4 linked regions of the Elephas maximus indicus genome follow. The protein of the gene in region 3 interacts with the protein of the main gene of each other region in a pairwise test. Links are inferred from orthologs where the notes say so. Each region holds a gene or a part of one and is shown on either strand. Other genes may lie near its edges.

Evidence for each region.
Region 1: the proteins of NUDT18 (region 3) and GLUL interact in a two-hybrid assay, tested with the Homo sapiens proteins (2 studies listed by BioGRID and IntAct). The two-hybrid records come from large-scale screens. The link is inferred for Elephas maximus indicus from reciprocal best matches to the Homo sapiens genes NUDT18 and GLUL.
Region 2: the proteins of NUDT18 (region 3) and NT5C2 interact in binary tests that used the Homo sapiens proteins (3 or more experiments, as listed by UniProt). The two-hybrid records come from large-scale screens. The link is inferred for Elephas maximus indicus from reciprocal best matches to the Homo sapiens genes NUDT18 and NT5C2.
Region 4: the proteins of NUDT18 (region 3) and EVI5L interact in binary tests that used the Homo sapiens proteins (3 or more experiments, as listed by UniProt). The two-hybrid records come from large-scale screens. The link is inferred for Elephas maximus indicus from reciprocal best matches to the Homo sapiens genes NUDT18 and EVI5L.

Annotation. Positions count from the first base shown.
Region 1 is NC_064842.1:45,558,956-45,566,850, reverse strand, and holds the start of GLUL (glutamine synthetase), read left to right. Parts: upstream 1-4,881; 5' UTR 4,882-5,087; intron 5,088-7,895. UniProt on the Homo sapiens protein: Glutamine synthetase that catalyzes the ATP-dependent conversion of glutamate and ammonia to glutamine.
Region 2 is NC_064834.1:54,711,412-54,718,976, reverse strand, and holds the start of NT5C2 (cytosolic purine 5'-nucleotidase), read left to right. Parts: upstream 1-4,564; 5' UTR 4,565-4,646; intron 4,647-7,565. UniProt on the Homo sapiens protein: Broad specificity cytosolic 5'-nucleotidase that catalyzes the dephosphorylation of 6-hydroxypurine nucleoside 5'-monophosphates.
Region 3 is NC_064840.1:52,592,479-52,600,311, forward strand, and holds the start of NUDT18 (8-oxo-dGDP phosphatase NUDT18), read left to right. Parts: upstream 1-4,830; 5' UTR 4,831-5,019; coding exon 5,020-5,181; intron 5,182-6,484; coding exon 6,485-6,698; intron 6,699-6,922; coding exon 6,923-7,518; 3' UTR 7,519-7,833. UniProt on the Homo sapiens protein: Mediates the hydrolysis of oxidized nucleoside diphosphate derivatives. Hydrolyzes 8-oxo-7,8-dihydroguanine (8-oxo-Gua)-containing deoxyribo- and ribonucleoside diphosphates to the monophosphates. Hydrolyzes 8-oxo-dGDP and 8-oxo-GDP with the same efficiencies.
Region 4 is NC_064821.1:12,570,090-12,577,522, forward strand, and holds the start of EVI5L (EVI5-like protein), read left to right. Parts: upstream 1-4,427; 5' UTR 4,428-4,573; intron 4,574-7,433. UniProt on the Homo sapiens protein: Functions as a GTPase-activating protein (GAP) with a broad specificity.

The sequences.
Region 1 (7,895 bases), on a different chromosome or scaffold from region 3:
TAGGATAGAGAAGTCCCTGCAGTTTATCTTCCTCAGTGGGTAGAAACGGATTTCAGGATTTTAGAGGTGGTAGCCCAGGAACATAGCACCTACAGTCTGAGGAGACTGGAGAAAGAGGATCAGAAAAGGGCTCTTAAAGATTCTAACTTAGAAGCACATTAGGCTCTGAAATACCGCCCTGACATGATTTAAGTAAGTCACTACAAGTTTTCTAGGCCTCAGTTTCCCAGTCTTTAAGACAGGATGGTTTGAAGATCTGATTCTAGTATTGCATGGCTTTAATTTTCTCAATAGGACTTATTTCCCCATGTTCTTAGCTAAGTGAACTTCATTCTCCCCAACTCTCAAAGTGGTTTCCCATTAGAGACAAGATTTGGGGTAGGCGTCGAACAGAGCGAAACCTTCAGTCATAACACGAGTTTTGGGAAATGGAGTTTTCCCTGTATTTCAATGATTTCAACAAGTGTTCAACAAACCTTACATTGGGCCGCAGAGAAATGGCTGAGGCTTAAACTTCTAGCTTCCTCTCCTTTCATCAAATAATCAGAAAGGATATAAAAAATAAATTCTCTGAGCCTACAGTTAGGTACTGAATTGAAGTATGACCTGGTCTTTTCTTCTTTTATTGTGCAGAATAAATCTGGAAACTTGGCCACCTGCAGCTTCTCCATAAAATATGGTCTAAGAGTAATGCTATCAACTGCTAGAGTTGTCTTTTTCTCTCTTTTGTTTTTGCTTTAAGATTTTACCGTAATCTATCCTTTTGGAAAGAATTGGTGTTGGTTTATTCAAAAACAGACTAGTTTATAATTCTGGGCTGGGTTTCCAGGATGTTCCTCAGTCCTGATTCTTAGCCGTGTCTCTTTAGCCCAATTTAAGGCTTTGCTTGAACATTCATCGAAATCATCCAAATATAGAGAAAACTTCCTATCTCCAAACTGCACACTATGGCCAAAGGTTTGGGTTGGCTTGAGCCCTACTCATATCTTGTGAGTGTAAGGCACCCGCACAGGCTCTAGGAAAGCACTGTCTTGTCACCAGGTTATAGGGTTCAGACCTGTGAATGAGAATGTCATTGTCGTTAGTTGCCTTTGCGTCGATTCTGACTCGTGGTGACCCGTTTGCAGAGTAGAACTGCTCCATAGGATTTTCAAGGCTGTGACCTTTCCGAAGTAGATCACCAGGCTTGTCTTCTGAGGCGCCTCTGGGTGGGTTCGAACTGCCAACATTTTTGCTAGTAGTCGAATGCTTAACTGTTTACACCACCCAGGGACTCCTTGAGAGTGAGTCTAGGTCCTTTAAAGACCTAGAGAAAGACGCTGAGAGGACAACTCACAGGTAAAGCCCACCCAAGAGAAGGCCTTTATTTCAGGCAGCAGAACAACACTGCAGAAATGTTTTCCATCTCCAAACATTTCTGCAGATTTGGAGCAAAAGTTTTACCTGCAGTGCTGGTCTCCCACTCCACCCACCCTGTGGACACAGCTACTCTTCTCTAAGACAGAAAAACATGACTTCAAAGTGCACGCATTAGAACCCCACCAGCTTTGAAACTGTACATACCAAGAGATAGAAAGGTTCATGAGTTCAAGCATTCTAAGGCTCTTTTTATGGAGGGGTGGAAAGTGGGGGTGGGTGGCAATTTAGGGAAGAAAGGGAGTGAGAACAAAGGGCAGCAGACACAGCAAAGTCAAACTGGATGAAACAGGCTGTTCCACTTTTAACTTCTCTAAATGTACAGTCTGGGTCTCTGGAGGCAAACCGGTCGGTTAAAGGACTTCTTCTCATGCATTCTTAGGCTTCCCTGGTCACTCCTTGGACTCACTGGGGCCCTAATTCGATGGGCTTAAGAAAGTGTGGGGCTGACCAAGGAGGACAAGTCCTCTGGTTCACTCCGGAAAGAGTCAGTGGTCGGGTATTATGTTCCTATCCCTCACAAAGCACGCCCCTTGTCACATGAACGGATCAAAGCAAATCCATTTCCATTCTTGGAAAAGCAGCTCAAAGCACTGGTTCTCTTGATGGTGCCGCTGTCACTTCTGTGTAGTCAACAAACATCACTTACTGGACACTGTTGGGGGAGAAAAAGATGAATAAGCTACTCCAGGAGGTTAAAATACTTAGCAAGGAAAGTAGGCACTTGCATCATAAAACGCGACACTATAAACTAAAAAAAACTGCATTTGCTTCTTCATATTCCACCTTCCATTAATGCTTGCCATAAACCACGGCCTTCCAGTGCAGTGGCTGGTGGTAAGGAGTGCTGTGGAAGTCGGTGGTTTATGGCTTGGCAGTTTGGTATCTTTGTAAATAAAAACATCACCTCCCCCTCCATCCAACCATTTAAACTCAAGACTTCACAGAAAGAAATGGAATGAAGATAGCTCACTCTGTTCCCAGGTGTGAGCCCACTTTCATAAAACTAATGGTGGTATATTTCACTGAGTTAGAAAGTTGCATTTAATGGGTCTCAGTGAACGGCTGGTATATGGAAGGAAACAATCCAATCTTTTCAAATTATCTTGGCCAATAATAATTAAGAATATTTTCGTAAATATTTACTACGTCCCAGGTACTATCCTAATCTCTTTTACATGTGTTATCACAATTAATCTTCACGATAAAGTAAAAAACCGGTTCCCATTGAGTCAACTCTGATTCATGGCAATCCCATGTGTGTCAGAGTAGAACTGTGCTCCACAGGGTCTTCAATGGCGGATTTTTTGGAAGTAGATTGCCAGGCCTTTCTTCCAAGACACCTCCGTGTGGAGGAACCTCCAACCTTTGGGTTAGCAATGGAGCACATTAACTGTTTGCACCACCCAGGGGCTCCACAATAATAATTTTATAGGCAAGGAAACTGAGGTTTAGTGTGGCTAAGTAACTCAGTCAACACAAAGCTAGTAAGAACTAAAGCCCAGATTTGAATCTAGGTTTGTCTGACCCAAAGCCCAGCCTTGAACTACCACGTTATAATGCTTCAACATGCAACACTTAAACTTAATTTGGAATCCCTTAGATTTGTGAGGTGCCTTACTGTGTTTTTTTTACTGTGTCCAGAATGCCATCAGTTTGAAACATTCCAAAAGCCCCTGTTTGATATGAATGCTGTATTTATCAGTGAAAAGCATTACAGTGTTAGACACACTTTTAAAGGAAAGAGATGTTGATCAAAGAAGCCAAGTTATGTGTGTGGTTACAGGCAATATTTCTTTTCCATATTTGTGGTACAAAAAATAACCAGAAGAAACTTCTTTCCTTCCTCTCCCGAAGGTACTGGGAGCACGGACTCTTGGCCTTCAAACAGAAAAATTGCAAAGTCTTAAAGGCTGGAGCTTGCAACAAACCAAAAAACCAAACCCAGTGCCATCCAGTCGATTCTGACTGAGCTCGCAAAAGATGCAATAAAGGTTAGAAACCCTGGTGGCCTGGTGGTTAAGTGCTATGGCTACTAGCCCAAGGGTCAGCAGTTCAGATCTGCCAGGCACTCCTTGGAAGCTCTATGGGGCATGTCTACTCTGTCCTATAGGGTCACTATGAGTTGCAATCGACTTGACGGCAACGGGTTTGGTTTTTATTATTATTTTTTAATCATCAGGTAGACTTTGGGCAATAAAAATAGAACGGCCAAGTAACAGGACTGGTAGCAAGAACAGTATTTTAAAAATAGGATTACTGTGCATCTGTTGACAAGCATCCATTTTCAAGGCTGCACTCACATGTTTTCTCAACCATCACCGCAAGGCTGAGAGGAGCAAAAGCCAATTATTCCCATTTTATAGATTTAAAAGAAGGCCTAAGTTACTTGCAAAGCAAAAACAGGGAGAATTTAAGGAATTCTAAACTTTTGAGGAACCCTGGGCTACCGCGGGGCCATGAGAACACCTCACTTTCATCTGCTCTTGGGGAACAGTTTGCATAAAAGCACAATTTCAAATCTGGCCAGCAGCCCTAAAGGTCCCTTCAAACTGCTTTGTTTTGCATATGAAGAAACGGGCCCAAGGAGGCTGAGTAACTCGATTAAGGACTGACAGAGACCTTCTCAGACAGGTCTCCTGACTGTTTCTACCGCCCGCCGAAATCTTCTCAATGGAATTATATAAACACCGCAAGATGATTAAACATGTGAAATAGCAGAGTTCTGTCCACTTCCCCAAAACCCCTGAGAGAACTGGGGAGAGGGCTCTTCGTGGACGCTGGAATCCCGGGCCTCCCATCAGCAACCCCCTCTGGAGCCTTCTCGAGCCCCGCACTCCGACGCAAACAACCACGAGCGGGCCGGTGGGGCGGGGGGCTGGTCACTAACACCAAAAGCCAATATGTTTCCGTGGTTCAGAATTTCCACCTCTGGAGTCCGCGGTATGACCTCGTAAAAGATGAAATTCTCCTTGCAAAAAAACAAAACTATTCAACCCGAAGGCAGCAGCGGCGGCTGCCCGGGGAGGTTTTCTAGGAGGCTTGGAACTCGGGGCTGGGGGGCTGCAGGGCCAGACCCAGGTCGGTGCTCTGGGCTGGGCGCGGCGGCCCGGGGTTGTTTTGCTCAAGCCTGCTGCAGGAAGGGTCCTTCCTCGGCGGGAACCAGCGCCCTCCGCGCGCAGCCAGCCGGCCAGCCCTTCTTCCCTCCCCTCCTCCCCAAACCCTCCCCTCCTCCCCAAACCCTCCCCTCCTCCCCAAACCCTCCCCTCCTCCCCAAACCCTCCCCTCCTCCCCAAACCCTCCCCTCCTCCCCAAACCCTCCCCTCCTCCCCAAACCCTCCCCTCCTCCCCAAACCCTCCCCCTCCCCCACGTCCCTTTCTCTTTCTTTCCCGGCTCGCGCTCCCCCACCCGGCGGCGCGCCCGCACCGCTCCTCGCCCAATGGCCGCTGTGCCCGGGCGCACATCAGCTGATCAGCCCGGGCTCCCGGCCGCTGGAAGCCAATCAGGGCGCCGGGGGCGGCCCCTGGCCGACGATAAAGGGTGTCCGGCTCCGGGCCACCCTTCAGAGCCGAGGATGGGAGCAGAGTCGAGCGTCTGACCTGTCTACCTGGCCTCCTCTCCTCACCTCGCTCTCGCGGCCTACTCTCCCTCCAGCCGGCTCGCCGCCCAGGTAAGCGCCTGGCTGCCCTCGGGGCGCGGAAAGCAAGCGTGCCTTTTCCCCGGCCTCCTCCCCGCCGCGGCCCCGCGGCCTTTTCTCTTTGGCCCCTTCCCTGCCTCCAGCCCCCTCCTCTGCTTTCGGCCCCCCGGGGGTGTCGAAGACGCGCGCGTGCTTCCGCCGTCGGTAATTCCGGGCGGACCTGGGCTGCCGTTTGTGGGGCGCGCCCTTATCAGGGTTTTGAGAAGGGTTGGGGGGGGTTGTTTTGATCTTCCTTCTGCTGCAGTGGCCCACAGGCAGGCCCTGGAGGCCTCGGCGGGCAGAGCCGTGGAGCCCCTCGCCTGGGCGGAGCCCTGGGCTCGGGGTGTTTAGGTTGTGGAGGGAGAGGCTGTGTTCCGCTGCGGGAGCGCACGCCGGGGCTCCTGGTAGGCGCGGGCGCCTCGCTCTCTTCCTCCGCGTGGTGGCGGGTTTTGGAGGTCGTGGTGGTGTTGATTATCTTGTAGACGCCAACGTTGAAGGGAATAACCATGAGTGTTTTGTTTGCGTGGCTGCTTCCCGCCCCGGAGACCGGGGAAAATTCTGGGCCTTCCACTTATGACCGAACAATGGGGAGCCCGGCACCGCGGCGTTACCCGGCGGGTGCGGCTAACGGAGAGGCCGGGCCGAGGCGGCAGCCGCGCACCGCCCCTCCCTCCGTTCATCCCTCCTGTCGCCGCCCCGCTTCCCCCAGCCTCTGCCCTCAGAGGAGAATGGCCCCCTTGGTGAGGCCCTGAGATCCAGACCCGGGGGGGCGGGGCGCCGACGTTCGTGACATTTCAGGGCGTAGGGGCTCGTCTAAAAGTGGATTCCAACTCCCCCGGGGGCAGGAAGCGGGGCCGCTCCCCTAGCCGCAAAGCCACAAAGTACGATGCGGACGACACAGAGTCGCGGTCCTCGGGGTCGCCCTCCAACTGCTTTGGGTTCGTCGCCTATTCGGTGAAGTCCGGAGAGAAATCGCGATTCAAGATTAAGGCCTTAACCCACCAGCCTCAGTATTCCAGCATCCCCCGACCCGAGGGCTCTCGGTCTGCATCTCCGTCTCCGTCCCCCTCTCCCAAAAAGATCCGGTGTCTGGACCAGCGAGAGCCGGAGATCAAGGAGGAGCGTGAACAGAAATCAAAAAAGAGGAGGGCTAAAATAGAGGGAGCCCCCGGAAATATTACTGACCTCCATTGGCTGGGGTGAGTGAGAGGGCAGAGAGAGAGGACTCCGGAGCCGGTGGCAGCTGCAGAAACAGCTAAAAGCTTCAGAGTCCCATTTTTTCCCCCACGTAAAACTTGGCACCGTGAAGGCACCAGTTGCTAAAGTAGACTAGGCTGCTGGCCTCCGCTTCTGATCACCAGAGAGGGCAGGAGACGCTTCACCTAGACTTAAGAGAAAATGTGGCTGGATTTTGGAGGTGAAACAAACGGGTTGGGGAGGAAAGCTGAGAGTGGAAAGCTTTTCTTGGAAACAGAAAGGATCAGGATCGTTCCTGCTGGTCATTCAGGCAGGGATGGGGGAGCGACGTGATTTGACAGACCAAGTCTTATAGATGGAATAGGCAAAGGAGGTTCTTTTCCCCAAGGGAGAAGGATGAGGCTGTTGGAAGAAGCAGTTATGTTTTCAGCTGGGCAAACATGGACCGTTGCCCATAGAAACTTTGCCACTGTACTTCAGAAAGTTACCCAAGTCATTGCAAGAGAAAGAACAATGTGTTCCCTTTCCAGCCACCCTGGGCCTTTGGTGGGGGAGGGAGGAGAAAACGTTTCCTCTTGTTTTGTGGCCTCTTCTTTCTGGTTTTTGTTCTTTTCAGAAGTTTTGTAGTGGTGGCTAGTGTGCCTCAGAGCTTTTGAAATCCCAGAGTTTTTTGGTTTAGAAATGGGAATTCCTATTTGAGAAGTTGTCTAGTGGGATCTCAAGAATATTGTCATTCTCAAACTTAAATATGAATGAGCCCATGTTCTGAAGTGACCGACAACTTTGCATCAGACCAATGGAAACTGTGGTAGTGTTCACCTTGGAATCCGAATTGGATTGGTAGCTGTTTTTACATCTTGGTGATTGTAATAACTGTCATCCTTTTATTTCATTTTTGTAGGAAGCCTCAGCCTTCTAAATCTTCTGGGTAGCCTGGTTTTTCATCCTTAAATCTAAATGGTTGGGTCTGCCCCCTACCCTTCAAAGGGAGGGAGAATCTCCAGAAAGGGGTTTTTATTAAGAACACAGCTAGAATGAAAGGCAAAGGGAAGATTCAGCCAGAAACCATAGCAGCCAAGTCTTTCTGTGTCTGGATTTTACTTTTATTGGGAGAAGAGAACAACTTTTAAAACATTTCTGAACCTTAATAGTTTCTTGTTTTTGCCCCTAGTTTCATAATATAAGAAGCTTTCTAAACAATTCTACCTCAGCTACACTGAGGGATAGGGGTTAGTCCTCACAAGTCTAGATTCTAGCTTGGGGAGGGAAGCCTTGGATTTGAAGAAGCTGCAGAACTTCAACTTCTGAGCCCAAGGATGCAGAGAGGGGTCAAGGGTTACCACCAATGGCTTGGTCTTTTCTCCAGTAAGTATCTGCTTTAATCTCTTCAAAAGGTGGTACTCAGATTTTATAGCCTTATAAAGAGAGTTTTATCTGATATAAAACTTTAATACCCCAGAAAGCACATTGGATAAATACACCTATGGGTATGTGACTTCAAAGGCAGTGGCCGCCACTCTCACCCTGACTTCTTGAGGGTAGTGTTTTCCTTTGATTTAACTGTCTCTCTTGAACCACCGCAAGGATTCGGTTTGCAGTTGGTGT
Region 2 (7,565 bases), on a different chromosome or scaffold from region 3:
TTTTCTCAAGGAAATGTTTTCTGACCTTCTCCCCATCCCAATCCCAGCCCCCCTTTTGTTCTCCATCATATAGCATCCTGTACTTTTCCTGCATAGTGCTTATCAAAATTGTAATAAAATAATTATTTGAAGTCCATCTTCCCAAGCCATCAGCAGACTCCATGAAGGTAGAAACTCATGTCCATAGTGTTCAGTGTTAGGCATATGGTAGTGTTGCAGGGTAGAAACATCACAAAGTTTGGTAAAGCAAAAAGAAAGGTTTTATTTGGTATATGTTCAAAGAGGCAGAAGTAGGAAAATGGACAAGCATGCTGCTAGAGCCATGTCTGCTGGAGTCCAAGGAACATTACACAATCCTCAGTATATATTAATGTTACAAATGGGTAAAATCATTGAAAACTTTACATTTTCACAGATTGGCTAGAAACTGTGATCCTACATTTTGCATTGTCTTTCTTAACAATCATTGGTACAGGTTTCAGTAATGACAGTCAGGAGGGTCCTCATTGGTCCAACACATTTTCTATTCACTGATGATAATAGAAAAAGATAAAAGTGGAAAGTCTTTGGTGTTCTGTTTGATTTATGTGAAAGGTTCCCTAAAAGATATTTCCTAAGATTATTTTAGCTATTGTGTTTATACCTCAGAGCCCAGTTGATGTGTCCTTGTGAGTCCAGCTGCAGCTGGGTCACATTCTCTATGTTAAAGGACAGGGAATAATGACTCCAATATCATTTCTTAAATCAGTAGGAGTCAATGAATATTTTTGAATAGATGTAGGTGCTCCCAAGTCTTTCATGGATGCCCTGTGTCTCGAGTTGGACTACATATTTTCTAGTTACATGTTTTCTAATTGATTGCCTCCTTCATAATGTCTGTACTGGGCTCTTTTTGCAGTGAGTGCTGACCTGGTGGTGTTGGAGAAAGGAAGATGAGCAAGAGAGGGGACCTCGAGCTGGCTAATTGAAACTAAGATGGAAAACTTCCTGGGAGAAAGATTTTTGGGCAGCGGGAGGCTGCTTCTAGGCCCTGGGCCAGGGCGTTGAGTAATGCTTGTATTTCTCTGAGAGCTTCTTTCAAGAAGCAGAAAAACTGATGAGTGACCTATGAATGCTGTTCACATTCTGGGTGACTCAGAGTTTATGGGATTCTGGGGAAAACAGTGTTGATCAGAGTGGTGGAACAGCCATGTGGGTGTCTGGACAGGAAGTTAGGTGAGAGGCCATCTAGGCCACAGTAGTGTGGCCTTCCTTGCCAAGTAGTGCTCAGGTCCTTCAACTAATGTCAAGAAAGAGAGCCCGAGCAAACCCCTTGTGGCTCCTTATTGCCTCCTCAGGCCCCAGAGCTCGGTTAGAAGGTTGTTTCACAAGTTGGCATGACTTGTCTTACCCATAAAAGTTATGAGGCCAAATATCCTGTCCTTTTGCATTTAAAAAAAAAAAATTAATTTTTGGTTACAAAAGCAATACATGGATACATTTATCCTCTACCACATTACAAATATAACTAATCAGACTTTACTCTGATTTCACCAGTTTTTCCATTAATGTCTTTTTCTGTTCCAGGGTGCCATCCAGGATACCACATTGCATTTGGTCTACTCCAACCTGTGACAGTTGCTCAGTCTTTCCGTGTCTTTTATGACCTTGACACTTTTGAAAAGTACAGGTCAGGTATTTTGTAGAATAGCTCTCCATTTGGGTTTGTCTTATGTTTTCTCACGATTAGGCTGAACTATGCATTTTGAGGAAGAATTTTTTTAATGTCAATACTGTACATATCATCCTGCAGCTGGCTGTTTTCATTCAGCAATATGATTTTGAGATATATCTATGTCAAAACGTATAGATCACTCATTTTAACTTCTATATAGAGGTCCATCATATGTGTATTCTACACTTTATTTAGCATTCCCCTATTGTTGGGCATTTAGGCCGATTCCAGATTTTTCTTATTACAAGCAATACTGTAGTGATTATCTTTGTATATATCTCCATATGCACATGGAGTTATGGAAGATACCTAGAAGTAGAATTCCTAAAACATAGATTTAATAGATGTTGTCCAATTGCCCTCTGAAGTGGCTGTGCCAATTTATATTCCTTGACATTATGAAGCTTAACAGTTATGTTGCCAAGCTGAGTTTTAATTTGCATTTCCCCCATTTACTAGTGAGGCTGGGCATCTTTTTGTACGTTGATTGGCAGTTTGTATTTCCTTTTCTGTGACCTGTCTCTTTACAATCTTTGCTCATTTTTCTAGTGGATTATTTGTCTTTTTCTTATTGATTTGTTAAGAGCTCTTTATGTATTCTAGCGACAAATCCTTTGCATTATATTGTATATTGCAAATATTTTTCTCCTACTCTGTTATGTACCCTTTGTTTCCCAATTTAAGTTATTCCATCTCTCTGATTTATTTTTTGAAACAGAGTTCTTGATTTTAAAAGTAATACAAATGATGTAGAAAATTTGGGAAATTTATAGACAAGTATAGAGAAGAAACCACCTAAATCTTATCACTGACAGAAAATCATGATTAACATGCTTAATTACATACTTCCTTCTAGTCCTTTGTGTGTGTGTGCGCGTGCATGTGCATGCATGAGTGTGTGCAGGTATGCACACATTTTTCCTGCACAATCGAGATTACATTGCATATATGTATGCTTTATTCACTCACCACCATGGTCTTTATATACAAACCCTGGCTTTTTTCCCAAATACGCTTGGTTCAAAGGTGGGGTAAATAAAACTTTAGGCTAACTTCCAACTTCTAGTCCTTTTTTCCACATACCCTGATAAATCTAGTAGGTGAGAGGCTCAAGGCCTATCCTCAGCTGATCTGAACTGAAATTGGCTCAAAAACACAAGAGGGGGTAGTAATGCTGGAGCAGGGCACTTACTAAAAAGACTTGGAGGTTTTAGTTGACCATAAGCTCAGTATAAGTCAGTAGTGCAGTGCCAGGAACTTTATTGTAAGAATGAAAGACAATAAGTTCTTTTACAAGGCAGTGACAGTCCTGCTATGCTTTGGTGGGACCATAAACATTTAGTTCTGTCATGGAAGACATATTCTAAAGGAGTCACAATCAAGCCCACTAGGTACAGAGAAGACAAGGAGGAGGGCCCACAAAACTCACTGCCATCAAGTCGATTCCGACTGATAGTGACCCTGTGGAACAGAGAGTCGAACTGTCCCATGGGGCTTCCAAGGGAGTACTCTTTACAGAAGCAGACTGCCACATCTTTTTCCCCTGCAGAGCAGCTGATAGATTCAAACACCAATGGTATTGTTAGCAGCTGAGCTCTTAACCACTGTGTCACAGGGCTCCTTAGGAGGAGGGCAAAGACCCTCAACACTAGGACAGAGGAGGAACAACGGAAGAAATGGGAAATACTGATCTCAAATAAGAGAAAACCTTGGGCAGACAGGGTAGAAGTCTTCAAATATCTGAAAAGCAGAAGGTTGAAAATAGGTTAGACTTGTTTGTTCTCTGACGCTCGAAGGGGTAGAACCTAGGGCAGGAAGTGGAAGCTTCAGAAATATTTTCTAACTGGTCAGATCTGCTCTGACAAAGAAAGGCAATGCTCTGGAAACAACAGTCTTTCTGTTATCGAGGAGTCTTCATGCAGACTGAGTTAGTGGTGATGGTGGATTGATAAAATAAAACAAACCAACCAGTTGCCCTCCAGTTGATTCCAACATCTGCCAATCCCATGTGTAAAGAGTAGAACTGCTCCCTAGGGTTTTCAAGGCTTCGACCTTTCAGAAGCAGATGGCCAGGCCTATTCTACTGAAGGGCCAACTGGGTTGGTTTGGGCCAGCTACCTCTTCCTTTAATACAAAAAAAAAAAAAAAATCCAAACCCATTGTTCAGTCCATTCCGACTACTAGCGACCCTTATAGTCAAGTGTTTAACTGATTACTATGCGCTAGGATTGTGCTAAGAGCCTTACCTATGTTACTTCATCCTGTCAACGCCCTCTGATGTAGGTTCTCTCGTTATCTGTCCGGTATCTTATAGATAAGGGAGCTGGGGGTAGTGAGATCAGGTAACTCTTCCAGAGTCAGCTTATAAGTGGTAAAGCTGGGATTCCACACAGCCAGGCAAACTCCAAAGCTGGTGTTTTTTAATCACTAAGGAGATTCAAGCGTGGTACGGGGTCTGGACCAGGAGGGACTTGAGGTCCGTTGGTTTCGAAGACTTAGTGACCGGGAAAAGGATGCTCCCTCCCCCTAAGGGAAAGCGTCCAAGAATCATCCGAGACGCTGTGGAGAGGTAGCCCAGAGCCCTACGAAAGGACCTGGGGAGAATGCCAAGGATGGAGGCCTAAACGACTTGGAAGGGTTGTCAATGTACGTCACCGCACAGCTGGGCAACAAGCGACGTTCTGTTGTTTGAAGATTCCCAGGCCCATGTGAGGAGCCCAGGCGCCAGCCGTGTCGTCCCGCCCCTTTTGCAGCGCGGCAAGGGAGCGTCGCCGCGGCCGGATTCTGCGGCGGAGCAGGGGAACGGAACAGCGAGCCGGTCCCCGGCTGGGCGCGAGCTGGGGGCGGTGCCCGGGCAGCGGGGGCGGGGAGGGCGCGCGCCGAGGCGGCTGCGGCAGTTGCGCGTTGGGATTGCAGCCGTTCGGTGGGGCCGGTGAGTGCGGCGCGACCCACGGGCGGGAGGGGAGGGCGTGGGTCAGCCAGCGAGGGAGGGAGGGTGCGCGGCCGAGCGCGCGACCCCAGCTTGTAGCCGCCGCTTGCCCCCGCCCCCCGCCCCCGGCCCCGGGCCCCCGGCCCCGGGCCCTCGGCCCTCTTCTCAGCCCGATCCCCTGCCTGAGCGCCCGCGGACGGGGCGCCCGCGTCTCCGCACCGCACGGCCCCCACTCCTGTGCCGCCCCCGGCCCCGCGCAGCCCCTTCCTCCGTGTCGTGGCGACGCCCCCGGCCACGTCACGCCCGCGCCATTGTCTCCCTGAGGTCGGCTCGTTCGGACCCGGCCTTGGCGTTCGGAGCGCCGCCCTTCACCGGCTTAGAACCGACACCACTGCTCGGTTCCGCCCGCCCGTTTTCTTACCCGCTAGGCAGCCCCATCCTACTCGCCCACAGACACTCCTTCACTCAGTTCTGCTTATCTTTTCCGGCTGCCTCCGGGCTTCCTCCCCTCCGCGCTCGAGGCCACCTTTCCGTTCCTCTTACCGGGCCTGGGCGCGGCCACCCCCTTCCCACCCCCTGCGCTTTCCTGTGATTCGGGGAAACCCGAGGTCCCTTGTGGTAGGATGCGAGGTTGACAGTAGTTTAGGACGAACCACAAGAAACTGCCAACTTGTTAGCCCACATGCCCGTTTCCAGCACTTCCTGGAGAGCTCTCATCGAATTGCAAGCCACCCCCAAAAACATGATTCTTATTTCCAGATGGCTTCCAAGTCAGAGGTTCAGCTGTCCGTTGGCCCTCTTTTCCTTTCCTTTTCCTGGGGGACCCCTGAAGTCGGGGAGAGCCAAGAGTGAGATGCAGTAGGCCACAGCTTTTAAAAGCAGTAGTTAGATTTTGATGTCCAGTTTATCGCTTTCCCATACTTTCAGCTTTAGAGCCTTTATGTGTGAGAGTTTGTACTGTAAAGTACAGTGCTCTGAAATGGCTAGTCACCATTATGTTTGTGTGTGCGTGCACTCGGATGCACAGGTTCTTCATGACTGAACCAGCTTTATAATGTCAATGGACTGACAGTGCCTTTTGCCTCTTAGGGCAACGGGTGCAAACTCTGCGAAGTGTAAAGTGAAAGGCAGAATATCTAAGTAATGCTCTTTACCACGGAGACTTAAATGGGGAAGGCTTTATGTCTTAAATATTTGCCACCACCCTTTGAACAGCGGTTAGAATTTATCCAGATGAAGATGTCCAGGACTGGAGAAGTTAAGTTCAATTAGACACAGCTGCTTAGTAATTAAAATCTGAATTCCACGTGCTGGGCTGATGCTAGCACACACACACTTTTATTTCTGACACGTCATTCCACTGCAATATAAGCCATTACATCATAGCAGGGTAGATTGTGGTATTACTCTCCTCAGCCCAGAATTTAAAATTTAGAATTCAGTAACCAACTAATGTGTAAAATGAGGAAATGTTTAAGGTTTCATTTAACTTTAAAATTGGACGATTCCATAGTATGAAAATTTCCAATCACCTACAAGTTTCCAAAGGTTTAGAATTGTAGGAAGATTTATGGTAAGCCTTACTATTGATATCCAGTTGCATCTTCCTAAAAACAAATTAGAGTGTCACGTTAATGGAGGGACACACCTCTAGTCTATTTCTACTATTTTATGAGGAAAGGAACACACAAAATTTTTTTAAATGTGTTTTGATTGCTCGATTAGCTTAATTCAATGAAAGCTTAATTCAAAAAGCTTAATTGAATGAAATAGTAAAACAAACCAAAAAAAACCCAACTTTATTACATGCTTTTCATAAGACTGGAAACCTTGGTGGCGTAGTGGTTAAGAGCTAACCAAAAGGCTGGCAGTTCGAATCCACCAGGCACTCCTTGGAAACTGTATGGGGCAGTTTTACTCTGTCCTATTGGATCACTATGAGTCGGAATCAACTGGATGGCAGCGGGTTTGGTTTTTTGGTCTATAAGACTATGCTCTTTTCCAATTCTTATATAAACATGGTTTTTATCTACTTATAATCACTGTGTACAACATTACTTTGAATTTTGCACTTACCTACATTTGTGGGACACGCACATATCTAGAGAGTTTATTGCTTTTCATTTGTAGAGGCCCCGTTGTTGTTCCTTGCATTCAAGTTGATTCTGACTCATGGCGACCCCATGTGTAGAAGTGCTCAGTAGGGTATTCAATGAAGGCTGTGACCTTTCAGGAGCAGACTACCAGGCCTGTATTCTGAGGTATCTGTAGTGCATAACTGTTTGCACCACCCATTTCTTTATGCCCAGTAGTCAACGATGCCTGCGACACAGACTCTCAGTAAATTTTTATTGGACAGATGTAATATTTTGAACTGTTTAGACAACATCTGCTAACACAAATGTTAAATATCTCAAGGCATATGTTAAGTGACACGTGAGCAGTAAAGACAGAACTTTGAGCCAGGAGGCAGCCGTGTAACCTGGAAGAACTTAACTAACCTTAGAGAACCTACTCAGTTTTTCCTGCCTTGAAAAATAAATTTCACAGGGTTGTGTGGATTAAATGGGATTAATTCCACTGAAGGAAATTGTTCTTTATAAATGTTAGCTCTTACTTTTTTTTTTTTGGTTACAGTGGTGACGTAGTGGTTAAGTGCCACGCCTGCTAACCAAAAGGTCGGCAGTTCAAATCCACCAGGTGCTCCTTGGAAACTCTATGGGGCAGTTTTACTCTGTCCTTTAGGTCACTGTGAGTCGGAATCCACTCAATGGCAGTGGGTTTGGTTTTTGTTTTTTTTTAATGGAGAGAGATTACTGAAGGTTGGTTGGAATCAGCTGACACTTGAGAATAAGGAAAGCATGCTAAAGTGCGTATATTGAGGGTATAATGAAGATTGCTGTCTCTAAAACAAAGGGTTTG
Region 3 (7,833 bases):
TGCCCCCACCCATGCCCTGAGCTCTGTTCACACCACCCTCATCCTCCCTGGGCCCTGGGCAACCCTTTGCACTGCAGGCATTGCTGGGCAAGGGGCCCTTGAAATCTGCCCTCTCACTGGAGAGCTGTGAAGTGTGGGGAAGGGATGGGACCAGGGGACTGCCCGGGCTTGGCTGGAGGGAGTGATTGGGGCGATGCCACCCTGCCTGTGCTCCTCCCTCCCTCCGTCCTCTCTCCTTTGAGATTTCCATTAAAGTCTGTTGTTCTGTGAACGCTGCCAGTGTGGTTGGCACTGCTCATGCAGGCCACGTGGTCTGGGGAGGGAGAGGAGACATGGAAATTTGCTCAGGAGCAGGGGCAAATGGAGTGGGTGGGTGGGAACCTGGGGCCGGGGTAACAGGGACCGGCAGCACCTCTGCCTGCTCTTTTCCTGGGGGCCCAGGTCCCTGGCTCTCACTGAGAAGATAAAGCCTTCTATGTGGCTGCCCCCCAAAGATGGCTCCTGACAGACACAGCATTGAGGCAGAGCCCTGGGGCAGAACAGCACTGCTTCCCTGGGCAGCAATGGCCCGCAGAGACCCTGGATCTGCAACCCTCTCTGCAAACCCCAGGCCCCAGCCACCCACCTCTCCTGTCTGACCTGAGGTAGAGATCCATGCATGTGGCCCAGAGGAGCCCTTGCCCAGCGGGTCAGCCCTGAGTGCCTCAGACAGCTGACTGCCCCCCACTTCCCTCTGGTGTGACTCTGCCCCTCCACCCCTCTGCTTGTATATCTCAGCCCCATACATGCGCCAAGTATTGTTATACCTGATTGTTTCTGTGGTGGTTAGGGGAATTTTTTTATTAAATAATTTTTTTTTAAACGTTAATATACTTTAAGAAAAATTACAAAATAAGAAAAAGCCACCTGTAAACCCATCCCTACCTGCTCTAGGCTGAACCACTATTAGTATTTTGGTATGTTTCCTTTTGGTATTTTCCACAAGGTTTTGTACTTGGTTTCTGTCTTTTAACATTGTATTATAGACATTGTCCAAGTTGCTACCAAACCTTCATTGAAATGTCCCATTATATCCCATTAAGTGGTTTTGCCATGATTTATGTAACCATCCCCCCCTCTTTTTTTTAATTTAGATTTCTTCATTGTTCAGAAAGCTAGGTTATTTTTTTCATGGGATAAAAAAATAGAGAAGTCCTACACTTTACCAGGTACTGCACTGTGTTCATTTAAATTATTTCATATAATCTCTTACCAACATTTTGAGGTAGATGTTATTTCCATTTTACAGATGAGGACATGGGCAGATTAGGGTTAAGACAGTCACCCAAGGTCACACAGCTATTTGAGTGGCAGAACTGGGATTTGAACCAAGTTTTCTGACTCAAGCCATCTCGTTTACATTATAGTCTGAGCTCTTAATGGAGTTTAAAGATGGGTTTGCCCTCTTCTCTGTCCTCCTCCTTCCAACATTAAGCACTTTATGTCTGATCATGTTCCAAGTAGCCCTGAATGACCCATTCCCACTTACATTTCACTGTGTATAGCCGTGTCCTGATGTCACCCCAGAACCCAAAGTACAGGGTCCCTGCTGTGGAAAGATGGTGCTCTGAACTTTTGCCATTAAGGAGTCACTGGGCCTCTCTTCCCCACACAGACCTCCCCCAATCTGCATCACACCCCTACCCCATCATGGTGACCCATCCCAGAGGTCATATGTGGTCTGACTGCTTATAAACAGCAGGTGGATCAGTGTTCATTTGTTCCAGGGCTGGCCCGGTCCAGGTGGGCACGGACCCTGAGACTGGGCCTATGGGCACTCGATAGCACTGTATCTCATATAGGCTCGGCGGCTGCTTGACCCCAGTCTAGACCTGCCCTTTGGGCCTCTGCTTCTCACAGGCCTGTCCCAGCATCCCCATTGTCAATCTTCTGTTGTTTCCAGCCCCTCTCACTGGCCAGATTTCACATGTACAGCCCTCAGAGCTGGACATGAGCTCAGAGCGTGTATATCCCCTCGCATCCAATACCTTCTTTTTCTTATAAATTGTTTAGACTTTTTATTTTGAAATAATTTTAGATTTACAGAAGAGCTGCAAGATATGATAGAAAGTTTCCAATTACCCTTCACCCAGCTTCCCCTAATGTTAACATCTTATAAGACACCATGGTACATTTATCAAAAAAAAAAATTTTTTTTTTTTTTTAAGAAATCAACATTGATACAACTTTGTTAACAAAGCAACAGACTCTACTGGGATTTCACCAGCTTTTCACTAATGTCCTTTTTCTGATCCAGGATCCAACAATGCCTTCTTTTCACAGATGGCCTAGAGAATAGATGTGGTTCCTCTAAGGTCACTCAACAAGCTAGTGGCAGAGCCCAGCCTGAGCCAGACTTCTTTCGTAAGAGGGCCTGGAAGCTTGGGCTATGGCCCTCCTCACCTTTCATGCTTTGTTAAGAGACAAGAAGATTTGCTACTCTGTACATGCCTTTAGTGTCACAGATACTCTTGCCCCACCCTTGTCCCTGATGCTCCCTACTACAGGCCTTTCCGCACACGTGTTCACACGCACACACGTGTATGCACCTTGAAATGGCTGGCCCAGGCTTCTCTCCCATAGGTGTTGGGAGCATGGCACTGTACCAGTCAGGCTGTTCCTGTTCGCTCCACTGGTATTGCTTGAGTGGCACCCACACCAGCCAGTTTTCTTCCCTGTCTGGGAATGGAGGACACAGACCTAACTTGACAGAGATCTTTCTTGGTTCCTGGTTTTAGAGGACCACCCTCACTGGCTGGGTCTCTTTCAGCACCTAGCTGCCTCAGCCTCCGTGTCTTTCTATCTCAGCCCCTCTCCCTCCTCAGCTTTTCCCTCTTTCTGTCTCAGGGTCTCTTGAATATGCTCCCTTCCTCTCAATGCCTTGAGAAGAGTCTTTGTTGTCTCCTTTAGCATTGGGAAAGGGCTGAACAGTCCCTCCCATGTGTGCAGCCCTTCACAGTTTACAAGGGACTTTTGCACATTCCATTGCCTCATGTGATCTTCGCCACAGCGGTGATTAGGCCCACTTGGGGTAGCAGAGGAAGACTTTCCCTCAGTGATAATGGGGGGAGTGGAGCCGCGGTTTGTTGTAGTCTTCGCTCTTCCAGGCAGTTAGGCTGTCTGGTGTTTATCTTAGGCTGCCTTTGAGGCTCTCAGAGCCTTGCCCAGACATGACCTCACTCCCTCTCAAATCATCCCTGGGAGGCAGAAAGGCGTCTGGGACCAACGCTGTCCCCACTTCACAGATGGGAAAACCAAGGGATAAACACACACACATAGAGCAAATAAGTTAACAAGTTGCTCTGCAGTCCTGGGGTCCTGGCTCTCAGTCTTGTAAGTTCAGTTGTCTGGGAGGTAAGGAAGTCTTGGATATGGCTGAGGGCAGCAGCATTCACCAAGTGTCTCAAAAGTTCACGAGCCCACCGGGGCTGTCCTGCGGCTGAACATAGGGCCCTACCTCCAGGGAACTTGCAGTTAGTGTCAGTATGTATGAGAAGGGCCTAAAGAGGCAAACATAGTGTGGCTGGAGTTCCCGAGAATAAAGTTTAGTGCTATGGTGGCCCTGTAGGCATATTTCATGAGGGGGAGCGCCTTTTTTCATTGCAAGTCCTGTGGCCAGGAGGGCTCAGCCTGGAGGGTTGGGGGGCTGCCGGATGATGGCACCTCCCTCTGCCCAACACTGGACAGTGCACAGAGCAACTCCCACAACATCTCGCCTCACCTCCCAAACAACCCTGTGAAGAGTTTTTATGATTCTATTTATTCTACAGATGAGGAAACGGAGGCCCATAACTTTCCCAAGGGCATAGAGCAAGCCAGGGGCAGTGGCCAGACTTTCTAGCTTCAAGTCCAATGCTTTATCCATCTCACCACAGGCACTCTCTCAAAAGGGAGGGACACAAAGCCAGCAGGAGGGAAAGAGTAAAGGGGAGGCCTAAATGGAGGTGAGGAGCCCAGACTTGGCTTGCTTCATAGTTTCATTCCAGCTGGTCCAGACTTCCTGTCCTTTGAGGAGGTTAAAGGAAGCTCTGAGGAGGAAAGGTCAGCCTGGGAGAGAAGCAGAGCTCACCAAAACAACCCACACCCTGTTCTCAATGTGCCAGGCCCGTGTACTCGTGGAAGGAAACAAAGAGGAAGAAGCGTAACGTCCTACACTGATGAGGCTTGGCCGGCTGATTCCAGGCCCTCTCTCAGCCTATCCCCCAACCCCCCCGCCCGCCGTACCACACCTTGGTCATCCCGGAGGTGACCTCTCCCTTCTCCGAGTGCCTGTCACACCTCCTGCCACATCACTCATTTAGCACTTAGCTTATAACCCTCAGATGCCTTTTTTATATGTATATGTCCATCTCCCCAACTAGAATCTCCAACACGGGGGTTAGGTCTCCCCTGCCATGTGACATTGAAAGAAGAAAGTCATTTGGAAAGTGATCCTCTGGAGTAATGGCATTGCTTGTTTACAACAAAAGTTCCAAAGTGGATCTAAGCCGCGTGCCAAAGCCCCGTGACGTCATCGCGCTCGTTGTCACGTCATCGTCGCTAGCCACTGGGGCGTCTCTGCACCCGGCAGGCAGGATGACGTCACCTTCGGAACCAGTAGAGGCAAGTGCGCACTAAAGGAATGAGCGAGGTCGGCGGCGGGAGAAATCCGGAAAGACAGAGGAGGCTGCAGGAGCAGCCGACGCCCGGCGGGAGGCCGCGCTGCCCGGCGGCTCCCCCTGCGCTCCGGGCTGGCTCCGCCCCCTCTGGACTGGCTCCGCCCCCTCCGGGCCCTGCGCTGGCCAGCCAACCGGGGCCGGCCGCGGTGACGCGCAGCCTATCAGCGGCGAGGGCTCGCCGGCCCTTCCGCGTTCGCGAGCGCGCCCGGGCCGAGGCCGCGGCAGGGGGTGGGGAGAGACCGGCCGGCCACACGCTCGGCTCGCGTCGCACTGCGTCGGGCTGCTCTGCGCGGTCAGCGCCCGCCGCCTCCCACGGGACCCGATGGCCTCTGAAGGCCTGGCGGGGGCGCTGGCGGACGTGCTGGAGGGCGGGGGGCCGCTCGTGCAGAGCTGCGACTCGGTGCCGGCCGAGGAGCTGGTGGCCCCGGTGCGGCTGCGGAAGAACGTCTGCTACGTCGTGCTGGCGGTGTTCCTCAACGAGCAGGTGAGTGGCCGCGGCCGACCGCCAGCCCCACCGCCGGGCCTCTCGAGCACGCAGGCAGCCCAGGTGGAGACAACCGCAGCTCGCTTGTGTGTGGCATTTTCCAGTTTTGCAAAGCACTTTCACTTACACTAGCATTTGAGCCTGGTGCGGTCCAGGACTGCTATCATCCCGATGTACAGAGGAGGAAACTGAGGCCCAGGGGCTCTGGAACTCTTTCCCAGGTTTGTCCCCTAGGCCTCAGAACCTTGAGGGGAGGGCTGTCTTACTCATCTTCCTTTCCCAGGAGTCCAGTACAGTGCTTGGCACGTAGTGGGCTCTCTTGAAGATCGGAGACCTCCCCTGGGCCCCACGAATAGCAATAGCAGAACCCACACTTACACTCAGGCCTTCTGACTCCTGTCTAATGCCCTTTTTGGTACTGATTTTCCTGTACAAGTTGCTGTAATAACAGCTAGAAGGGGCCAGGACCATACATAGGGTTACATAGGGTTGAGGAAGGGCATGATTCAAAATGTAGCCATTAGTGAAAGGACGAGTCATAAGCAGTTAATCAACTATGTGGCGAGTCTAGATACATAGTGACAAATATAGACATGATTCAGCTCAGGACTCATAGTGAGTCTCACTCTGGGGCCACACGCCCAACCCCTGAAGCAACACCCAGGAATCTCAGCCCCTTTCTCAAGAGGAAGTCTTCCTGAATCTAAAACCAAAAAACAAAGCCGTTGCAGTCGAGTCAGAATAGTCACCCTGTAGGAGAGGGTGAAACTGCCCCATAGGGTTTCCAAGGAGCAGCTGGTAGATTTGAACTGCTGACCATGTTGGTTAGCAGCTGAGCTCTTAACCACTGCACCACCAGGGCTCCTTCTGAATCTGAAGAGGGAAGAATTACAGAAGGTACTCCTGAATAGCTCAACCATTTGACGGTGGCCATCAGAAAGGAGGACTCCCTGGGTGCTGCAAATGGCTAACGTGCTCATCTGCTAACCGGAAGGTTGGAGGTTTAAGTCCACCCAGAGGCACCTTGGAGGAAAGGCCTGGTGGTCTTACTTCCAAAAAATCAGCTCTCGAAAACCCTGTGGAGCCCAGTTCTACTCTAATACATAATGCATCACCATGAGTTGGAGTTGATGCGATGGCAGCTGGGTGTCAGGAGGGGCGTGTTAGGCAGAATGAATGTGAGATGTGATCAGGCCCTACAGCAAGGAAGGGCTTGGGGCTATGCTGCTCCTCTGGACTTCTCAGCACTGGAGCCCCCAGACCAGCTGTGGTGGGGGGGTGAGGATCCTCTCTTTCCCTTCAGGATGAGGTGCTACTGATCCAGGAGGCCAAGCGAGAATGCCGTGGGTCCTGGTACCTACCCGCCGGGAGAATGGAGCCGGGAGAGACCATCGTGGAGGCACTGAAGCGCGAAGTGAAGGAGGAGGCCGGACTGCAGTGTGAGCCTCTGACTCTGCTGTCTGTGGAGGAACGGGGCCCCTCCTGGGTCCGCTTTGTGTTCCTCGCTCGCCCCACAGGTACAGTATTGCCTGGTGGCAGGGAGCAATTGACACCTTTTCCCCCAGCTTGTCTTCAGGTGAGACGAGCCGAGCCCCTCCACAGCCAGCCCTCTTGTGGCTGGTACAAGCCTGAGAACTCTGGGCCTCCTCCCTGGGTCGGGGCTAGAGAGCCTGGGGGTCTGTTCTACTCTGCCGGACCAGGCACTTCTCTTTTGCTTATCCTGTCTCCCAAATCCCCTTAGGTGGAATTCTCAAGACTTCTAAGGATGCAGATGCAGAGTCCCTACAGGCTGGCTGGTACCCACGAACCTCCCTGCCTACTCCATTGCGAGCCCACGACATGCTGTACCTGGTAGAGCTAGCTGCCCAATATTGCCAGCAAGCTAGGCACCCTCTAATTTTACCCCAAGAGCTTCCCTGCAGTCTGGTCTGCCAACGGCTCGTGGCCACCTTTACCAGTGTCCAGACTGTGTGGGTGTTGGTGGGCACCGTGGGGATGCCTCACTTGCCCATCACGGCCTGTGGCTTCACCCCCATGGAGCAGAGGGGCGGCATGAAGATGGCCGTCCTGCGGCTGTTACAGGAGTGTCTGACCCTGCACCATTTGGCAGTGGAAACCAAGGGGTTGCTGGGACTGCAGCATCTGGGCAAAGACCACACAGATGGCATCTGTCTGAATGTGCTGGTGACAGTGGCTTTCCGGAACCCAGGTATCCAAAATGAGCCCCCGAAGATTCGGGGTGAGAACTTCTTTTGGTGGAAGGTAGTAGAGAAGGACCTACAAAGCCAGCTCTTACAGAGGCTTCAGGAGTCATCTGTCATCCCAGTCAACAGATAGGAAGGGGCCAGGAGTGGGCAAGAAGCTGCTCTCCTCCACCACGGCTTCATCTCTCCTCTGAGGGAGACAGGAAGCTGGAGACCAGGGATCTTGTTGCATTGGGAGCAGGGGCAGTTTTCTTGATTCTCAGGGGATTCCCATCTCTCCCTGGCTATGGAGCAGGTCCTACATCACACCCACCAAGAAGGACAGTGCCTTTAACCAAGCAAGGAGTCCAGAGCTCGGGGACCTGATTGCCCTGAGGGCAAACTGAAGCTATTTCATAAGGGGATGTGGGAACTGTCTGAACCTGAGATGTCATATAGTCATCATTTC
Region 4 (7,433 bases), on a different chromosome or scaffold from region 3:
GGTCTTACCCCTTTGGGAGCAAGAAAGAATGCAGAAAGCTAAAGACATAAGGGAAAGATTGGTCCAAAGGACTGATGGACCACATCTACCATGGCCTCCACCAGACTGAGTCCAGTACAACTAGATGGTGCCCGGCTACCACCAATGACTGCTCTGTCTCTGACAGAGCTGGAGATAAATGTAGAACAAAAATTTAACTCAAAAAGAAAGGCCAGAATTTCTGGCCTGACAGAGACTGGAGAAACCCTGAGAGTATGGCCCCCGGACACCCTTTCAGCTCAGTGATGAGGCCACTACTGAGGTTCACCCTTCAGCCAAAGATTAAACAGGCCCATGGAACATAACAAGACTAAAGGGGAGCAATAGCCCTGGGCAGGGACTGGAAGGTAGCAGGGAACAGGTAAGCTAGTAATAGGAAACCCAGGGTTGAGAAGGGAGAGTGTTGACATGTCGTGGGGTTGTTAACCAATGTCATACAACAATGTGTGTACCGTTTAATGAGAAACTAGTTCGTTCTGTAAACCTTCACCTAACGTTCAATTAAAAAAATTATAAAGAAAAGAGGATTGGGTGATATGGAAATGTGGAGAGAAGGAATGCATTCTATTTATTTTTACCACTCGAGTTTTCAGAAATATGTTTTTGGGATTATCGTTTCCAGAATTTTAATAGATGCAGTATAGATAGAAAGGGTGTGGGGGGAGGAAGGCATACAGAGGCAGAGAGAGTTTACACAGAACCAGTGAGAGTATAGACAGGGAGACAGAGTGTAGACAGGGAGAGTGTAGACAGGACAAGAAGAGTGTAGACAGGGCAGAGAGGGTGTAGACAGGGCAGGGAGAGTGTAGACAGGGCAGAGAGTATAGACAGAGCAGGGAGAGTGTAGACGGGGCAGGGAGAGTGTAGACAGGGCAGGGAGAGTGTAGACAGGGCAGAGAGAGTGTAGATAGGGGCAGAGAGAATGTAGACAGGCCAGAGCTAGTGTAGACAGGGCAGAGAGAGTGTAGACAGCACCAATGAGAGCGCGGACAGGGCAGAGAGTGTAGACAGGTGTAAAAATGGCATGGTGGGGGCTTCTGACTTCCTCTAACTTCACGAAGGGGAGAGAGAATCACCATCAGCAGCATCAGCCCAAGGCTGATTCCTGTGAAGCAGAGGTCAGATATGCCTCCTCTCTCCAACCTTTTTACCTAATTCTGACACCAGCCGTACCTCCCGTGGCACTCTCTCCTTCTCTGCTGGGTTCAATAATTCGTTGCAATGGCCTCACAGAACTCAAAGACAATACTCAGGATTACGGGGTTTATTAGAGAAGTAACAGATTACAATTCAGGGTCAGGAAAGACTCAGGATACCATTCGTGGGTCAGGACAGCCTCTTCTCAGCTGTGCTCAAAGGCAGGCCTCTTTCTGGCCCTTGGCCCCTCGTCCCCTTGGGCCTCTTGGGCCTCTTGGACCTACCCTCCTTGGGCAAGAGATACAAAGTTCTTTAGCTCTGCCAATAAGTGCCTAGAGGCACCCCATTCCACCAGCAAGCCCGCTGCCCTGCTGTCCAAAGGCACTCAGCTCTCTCACTCCATGAGCCAGGAAGCCCACTGTGCCATCTCCTGTCTATCTCCTGCTGTCTCTGTTGTTGCTGTTTCTCTACCGCTGCTTCTCGTCATCTCTAGTGTTATAGTTCTCTGTCTCCTGGGTCTAAGAGGTTCATCAGTGCAAGGACTCTGGGTCCAAAGGAGGTGCTCTGTTCCTGTCTCTTCCTCTTGGTGGTAGTCAAGTCTCCCCGTCCGTCTCTGAGATGGCTCATTTTAAGCCTAGCAGGATGAGAAAACTGATCAATCCCCCTCAATAGGATTCCATACATCTTATTTGCATGGTCCTATCCCCACAAGAGTGCCATGCACCTTACTTGCATTACCAAGCTATCCAAACATCTTGGTGGGACACAAACATCTCATTTTCATAGTTTCACCCAATCTTTTGGTGGGAGTTTCAAGATCATGGCTAGAAAGCCAAAAAGCCCACTGCCATCGAGCCAATTCCAACTCATAGCAACCCTATAGGACAGAGTAGAACTGCCCCGTAGAGTTTCCAGGGACAGCCTGGTGGATTTGAACTGCTGACCTCTTGGTTAACAGCTGTAGCACTTAACCGCTACGCCACCAGGGTTTCCATCATGGCTAGAAAGGTCAAATAATATTGTGATCCATCGCACCACAACAGGGCAGAGAGAGTGTATAGACAGGGCAGACAGTGTGGACATGATCAACGAGAGGGTAGACAGGCCAGAGAGAGTGTAGACAGGGCAGAGGGAGTGTAGACAGGACCAACAAGAATGTAGACAGGGGCAGAGTGCATGTGGACAGGGCAGGGAGAGTACAGACAGGGCAGAGAGAGTGTAGACAGGACCAACAAGAGTGTAGACACGACCAGCAAGGGTATAGACAGGGCAAGGAGAGTGTAGACAGGGCAGACGGAGTGTAGACAGGACCAAGAAGAGTGTAGACAGGGGCAGAGTGCCTGTAGACAGGGCAGGGAGAGTGGAGACAGGGCAAAGAGAGTGTAGACAGGGCAGGGAGAGTGTAGACATGATCAACGAGAGGGTAGACAGGCCAGAGGGAGTGTAGACATGACCAACAAGAATGTAGACAGGGGCAGAGTGCATGTAGATAGGGCAGGGAGAGTGTAGACAGGGCAAAGAGAGTGTAGACTGGGCAGGAGAGTATAGACGGCAAAGAGGGTGTGGGGCAGGTACAGAGAGAGTGTAGATGGAGCAGAGAGTGTAGACAGGGCAGAGATTGTAGACAGGGCAGAGAGAGTGTGGATGGGGCAGAGAGAATGTAGACAGCGGCAGAGTGTAGACAAGGCACAGAGAGGCGCACAAGGGCAGAGAGAGCTCGACGGATGTCGGGCATTTCTCCGAAGAGCAGAGCCCCCTACTGTTAGAAGGTGGAGATCTCAGCCTTAGAAGGTCCTGACACACCCCACTCAGGGTCTCAGCCTTCTGGATCCTCCCTCCGTCTCCCTATTTTCAGCCCCAATTTCGGTTTCAGGAGTCTTGGTGGCGCAGTGGTTAAGTGCTGGGCTGCTAACCAGAAAGATCGGCAATTCGAATTCACCAGCCCACCGAGGGATAAAGATGTGGCAGTCAGCTCCGTAAAAATTACAGCCTTGGAAACCCTACGGGGCAGTTCTACACTGTCCTATAGGGTCACTATGAGTCGGAATCGGGTTATTTCCGACTTCTGTCATGCTACAGTCTGTTCTGTGATGGAGTCCTTCCCTGCCCCGCCCCCTGACGACCCATCCCTGCATCTTGGCGTGGAAGCGCGTTGTCCTTTCTGCTGAATGCCTTTCTGCCGTCAGTGCCTGTCTCTACATGTCCTTCCCCAGCCTGAGCGGCTCTCTCCCCTCACATCCCTGTTAAGAGTCCTAGTCCCACCATTCATATAGTCATTCATTCACTTATAAGCTGTTAGGCAGCGCTGGGGACCCCAGGGAGCTCTGACCTAGGCCCTGCAGCCCCCTCTGAGAGGAGCTATCAGTTTGGGGTGGGTAGGCGTTGAGTAATAACACGGTGTGATCGGTGCTTTGATGAGGGACCGTAAGGCACTGTGAGCCTCGGAGAAGACACTTCACCCGGCCTAGACTAGGGCAAGGGACGGCCTTGAGTCTTCTGTGTGACCCCAAGTCCCGAGCTCAGACGGGATGCGGTCCCATCTCTTCCCCCTCTGCAATTAGGGATTTCTTGGTAACGCCCCTTCTCAGACCCACCCAGTTAGTCTCTCCCTAATTTGATTTCGCCCCTAACCCGTGTCGGCCTAGGCCCCGCCCCCTTAGCCCCGCCTCCATTTCATTCACCCAGTTCTCAAGCCCCGCCTCCCAGGAGACAAACCTCACACCAATCTCACGACACCATTGGTCAGAAGGTGTCACTTCAGCTCCCTCCTTCAATGTCATTGGCTGACTGGATGTCAATCTTTATAGAGCCCCAGCAGTTGCCAGGGCCGAAGTTTGAGATACAGATAATAATGGACGTCTCGTTATTGGGCAGAAAGCCCGGATCTGGGCGGGGCTTAGTGCCAAATGCTTGGCTTCTTCTAGCCGGGGTTCCTCAGAGCCTCAGCCTTGCCTCAGAGACACACCCCTCTTTCCCCGCTATTGGTCCTGTCAGGTGTTGCTCAACAGTATTCCTCATTTCCATAGGCAAAGCCACCTGTCCGTCATTGTTTCCCTAATTTCAATTCGTTTCTCTCCTAAGAGGCGTCAAACTTCTGACCGTAGCCGGGGCCCTCCTCACGGAATGGCCACGAATTGGCCAGGCCCCCCGTCACTCCTGATGATGGGCGGAGCCAAGGGGCCTGGGTGTGGCGGATTGGCTGACCGGGCTCCGGGGGCGGGGCAGCGGCTCCTGTCAGCGGGTATAATGGCAGCGGCGGAGCCGGCGGCGGCCGCGGTCCCGGGGGGCGGCTGAGGGGGCCGGGCCCGGGCTGCGGGGCGAGCGGCGCGGCGGGGATCCGGCGGCTCGGCCCGGGACGGCGAGGCTCCGCACGGCGATGGCGGCGTGCTCGGCGCAGGTAAGGCGGCGTGGGCCGGGCCTCCCGGACGCCTTCTCAGGCCGGCGGCTCTGCGCTGCGGCCCGCAGGGGCCGGGCAAAACCGCGACTCGGGCCGCCCCACCCGGCCCTCCTGAGAGCCCGCGCTGGGAGTCCCGCACCCTCGTCCTCGGGCCCTGACCCCCGCCCACCCTCGTTCCCCATCGCTCCGCACCCTTTTCGAATCCCTCGGGACCACCCACCTCCCACTACGCCCCCCTTCCTGTGAAGGTCTTTCAGGCCCATGACCCCCACCCACCCTCCCCCCTGACCCTCAGGACCCTTCCCCAGACCCTTCAAGCCTCCCCCTACCCCCACCCGGAGACCCGCCCACCCCCAAAAGGGCCCCGCTCTGCCCAGGACCCCCACACACCCTCTGTCCAGATCCCTCAAGACACCCCTGCAGAACCCTTGCCACACCATCCTCCCCTCACTGTACCATCCTCTGACCTGGACCAGACCTGCCCCCACCCCCAAGGAGGTGGCCTCAGGGTCTGCTCCCACCCTTCTGATCCCACAGGACCCCTCTCTAGTCTCTGGAAATCAGGAGTCCTGCCACAGGCCTCTCCTCAGCCTTTTGGCCCACCTCCTACTCCCAGCAACGGGAGGCTCAAGGGCACCCCCCAAATCCTCCTTCCATATCCTCCCAGCACACTCCAGTAACGTCACACACACCCCTGATCCTGACCCATCTTCCTAAAAACCTACCTTCACCTCATGCTCAGGACCACCCAACAGTCATTCAGGAACCACTCACCCACCCACCCACCCACATACACACACACACACATATCTGGGAGCCTCCAGTTCTACACAGAGAGATAGCCTTGAGCCCCAACTACTTATACTGACAGATACCCAGACCCCCAACACAGAGACACCAGGAGATGCCAACACGCATTCCAGAGTCCCACAGACACTTGGATCCTCCAGCATATACAAGAAACCCAGAATGTTCCACATAGATCCCCCACCGTACACAGACACACCACGCACACGCACACAGAGGACGACCCTCAGCACTTACACTGCCCTGGGTCCCACCTGACCAGACCCTCCCAGACCTCCCAACAGGTCACAGTTCAAGCAGAGATTCAGAGACTGTAGGGGACTGGCCTGCTCCAGGTAACCAGCCTACCCAGCCACACCAGCCTCCCTGGACCAGACGCTGCACTGGTGCCCTGGAGGGTGGCAGGGACCCAGAATCTCCTAGTGCCCCGTGGGCACCAGCCCCTTTATCCATCTCAGCCTGATTTGCCTTCTTCAAAGGGAAGGAGACTCACTCCTCCTCCTACACCAAAGTGTCCCAAAAGGAACCACTGCCCGCCCCCTAATTTATGCCACCCTCTGTGGGGAGCTCAGACAGTGCCTGGCCCCAGTCCTGAAGTCTGACCAGACTGGTAGGACCAGCATCCTGACCCCATCACGCCTGCTGGCCTCAGCCTGCAGTGCCCGCGCCATGGTCGGGGCTGCTTCTTGCACTGACTCCTGTCGGCCCACTGGGTTCTTTCACCCACGATGGGTGTGCTTTGCCAAAATGAAACGGCTGCCTTCTATCCTGGCGTTTAGGACCTGTGGGCTGGGTTTGGCCTGCCAGAAGCAGGCATCTCTTTGTTAAGGAATATTTCCAGAAGGGAAAAATGTGCTGAAGAGGCTCGGGTGGAGCGTGAGTGTGGAGACTGCTCGGTGTTGTCCCTGGGCCGGGCTGTGACTGAGCTCAAGGACCTGTTATGCAGCCCCCCTCCCACTCATCCTTCCACCCCATGGTTCTCACCCTCTGGTCTGACCCGTGGATTCCCCTGGGCCTCTGTGGTCAACTGCGGGTGGTTTGGAAGGAATTGCAGATGGCTTGGCCCTGGCACACGGATGTAGCGAGACAGGAGAGGAGCAGCCAGGCCATTTGAGATGGTGTGCCTGCAACTACAGGGCTTAAGGAGGAGCCCCAGTTCCCATGAGTTGGACCCAAGATCAGCCCAGCCCGATAACCACTTGTCTGGGGCCCTTCCCATGACCCAGAAAGCCCCAGATTAACAGGCCTGGGCTTTCTTGTGGATAGTCACCAGTGTATCCTAGGTAGCCCTGGACAAATCTCATCTTGGCTCAGTGCCTCAACTTCCCCACCTGGAAAATGAAACAGAAATCTTTGGCACAGTACTTTGACCCACTGAGGTTAGGATATGGCACTGAATGTTCTCTGGGCATTTTGTGGAAGGGAACAGTGGCCTCTGCCCGTGTAGTCACCTGTCTGTAGATTCTAACAGAGCCACTGGCCGCCTCAGCCCCCCGGTTATTATAGGATGATGCCTTACTGGATACTAGCCGCCACCTTGAAGTGGCACTGGTGGGATGAGGGGGAGAGATGGTCTGTTGTGGGACATGTGGCCTCACAGGGACCCCTGGGGGACTGAGGGGTAGGGGGCTGCTTGCTATCCATGCAGACACCCCACATAGACCCCTGACACCAAGTGAGGAGAGGTTTGTTCTGTGCACTTACTGAAGGTCATGTGGCACCCAGGAAGCAAACCTCACAGCCTCCCCAGGGTGGGACTCTGTGAGGACAGAGCCATGAGCTGTTTAGGAAAACACAAGAAGGCTCCTGAGTGAGCTGTAAACTATATCAGCATGGTCTTATGCTAGACTAGGGGCCCAGACCTACTATTTGTGTGCATTGGCAGGTGCAGGCATACAAGGGAGAGCAAGGACATCCATTCCTCACACAGGACACAAATGTGGGAAGCCCTGCCATGTACCAGGACTTGAGTCAGACAGGGGCTGGGCTTGGAGACATGTCAGATATGGTCCCTGCCCTGCATCTAAAGACTGTCTCCATATCACGAGTCGAG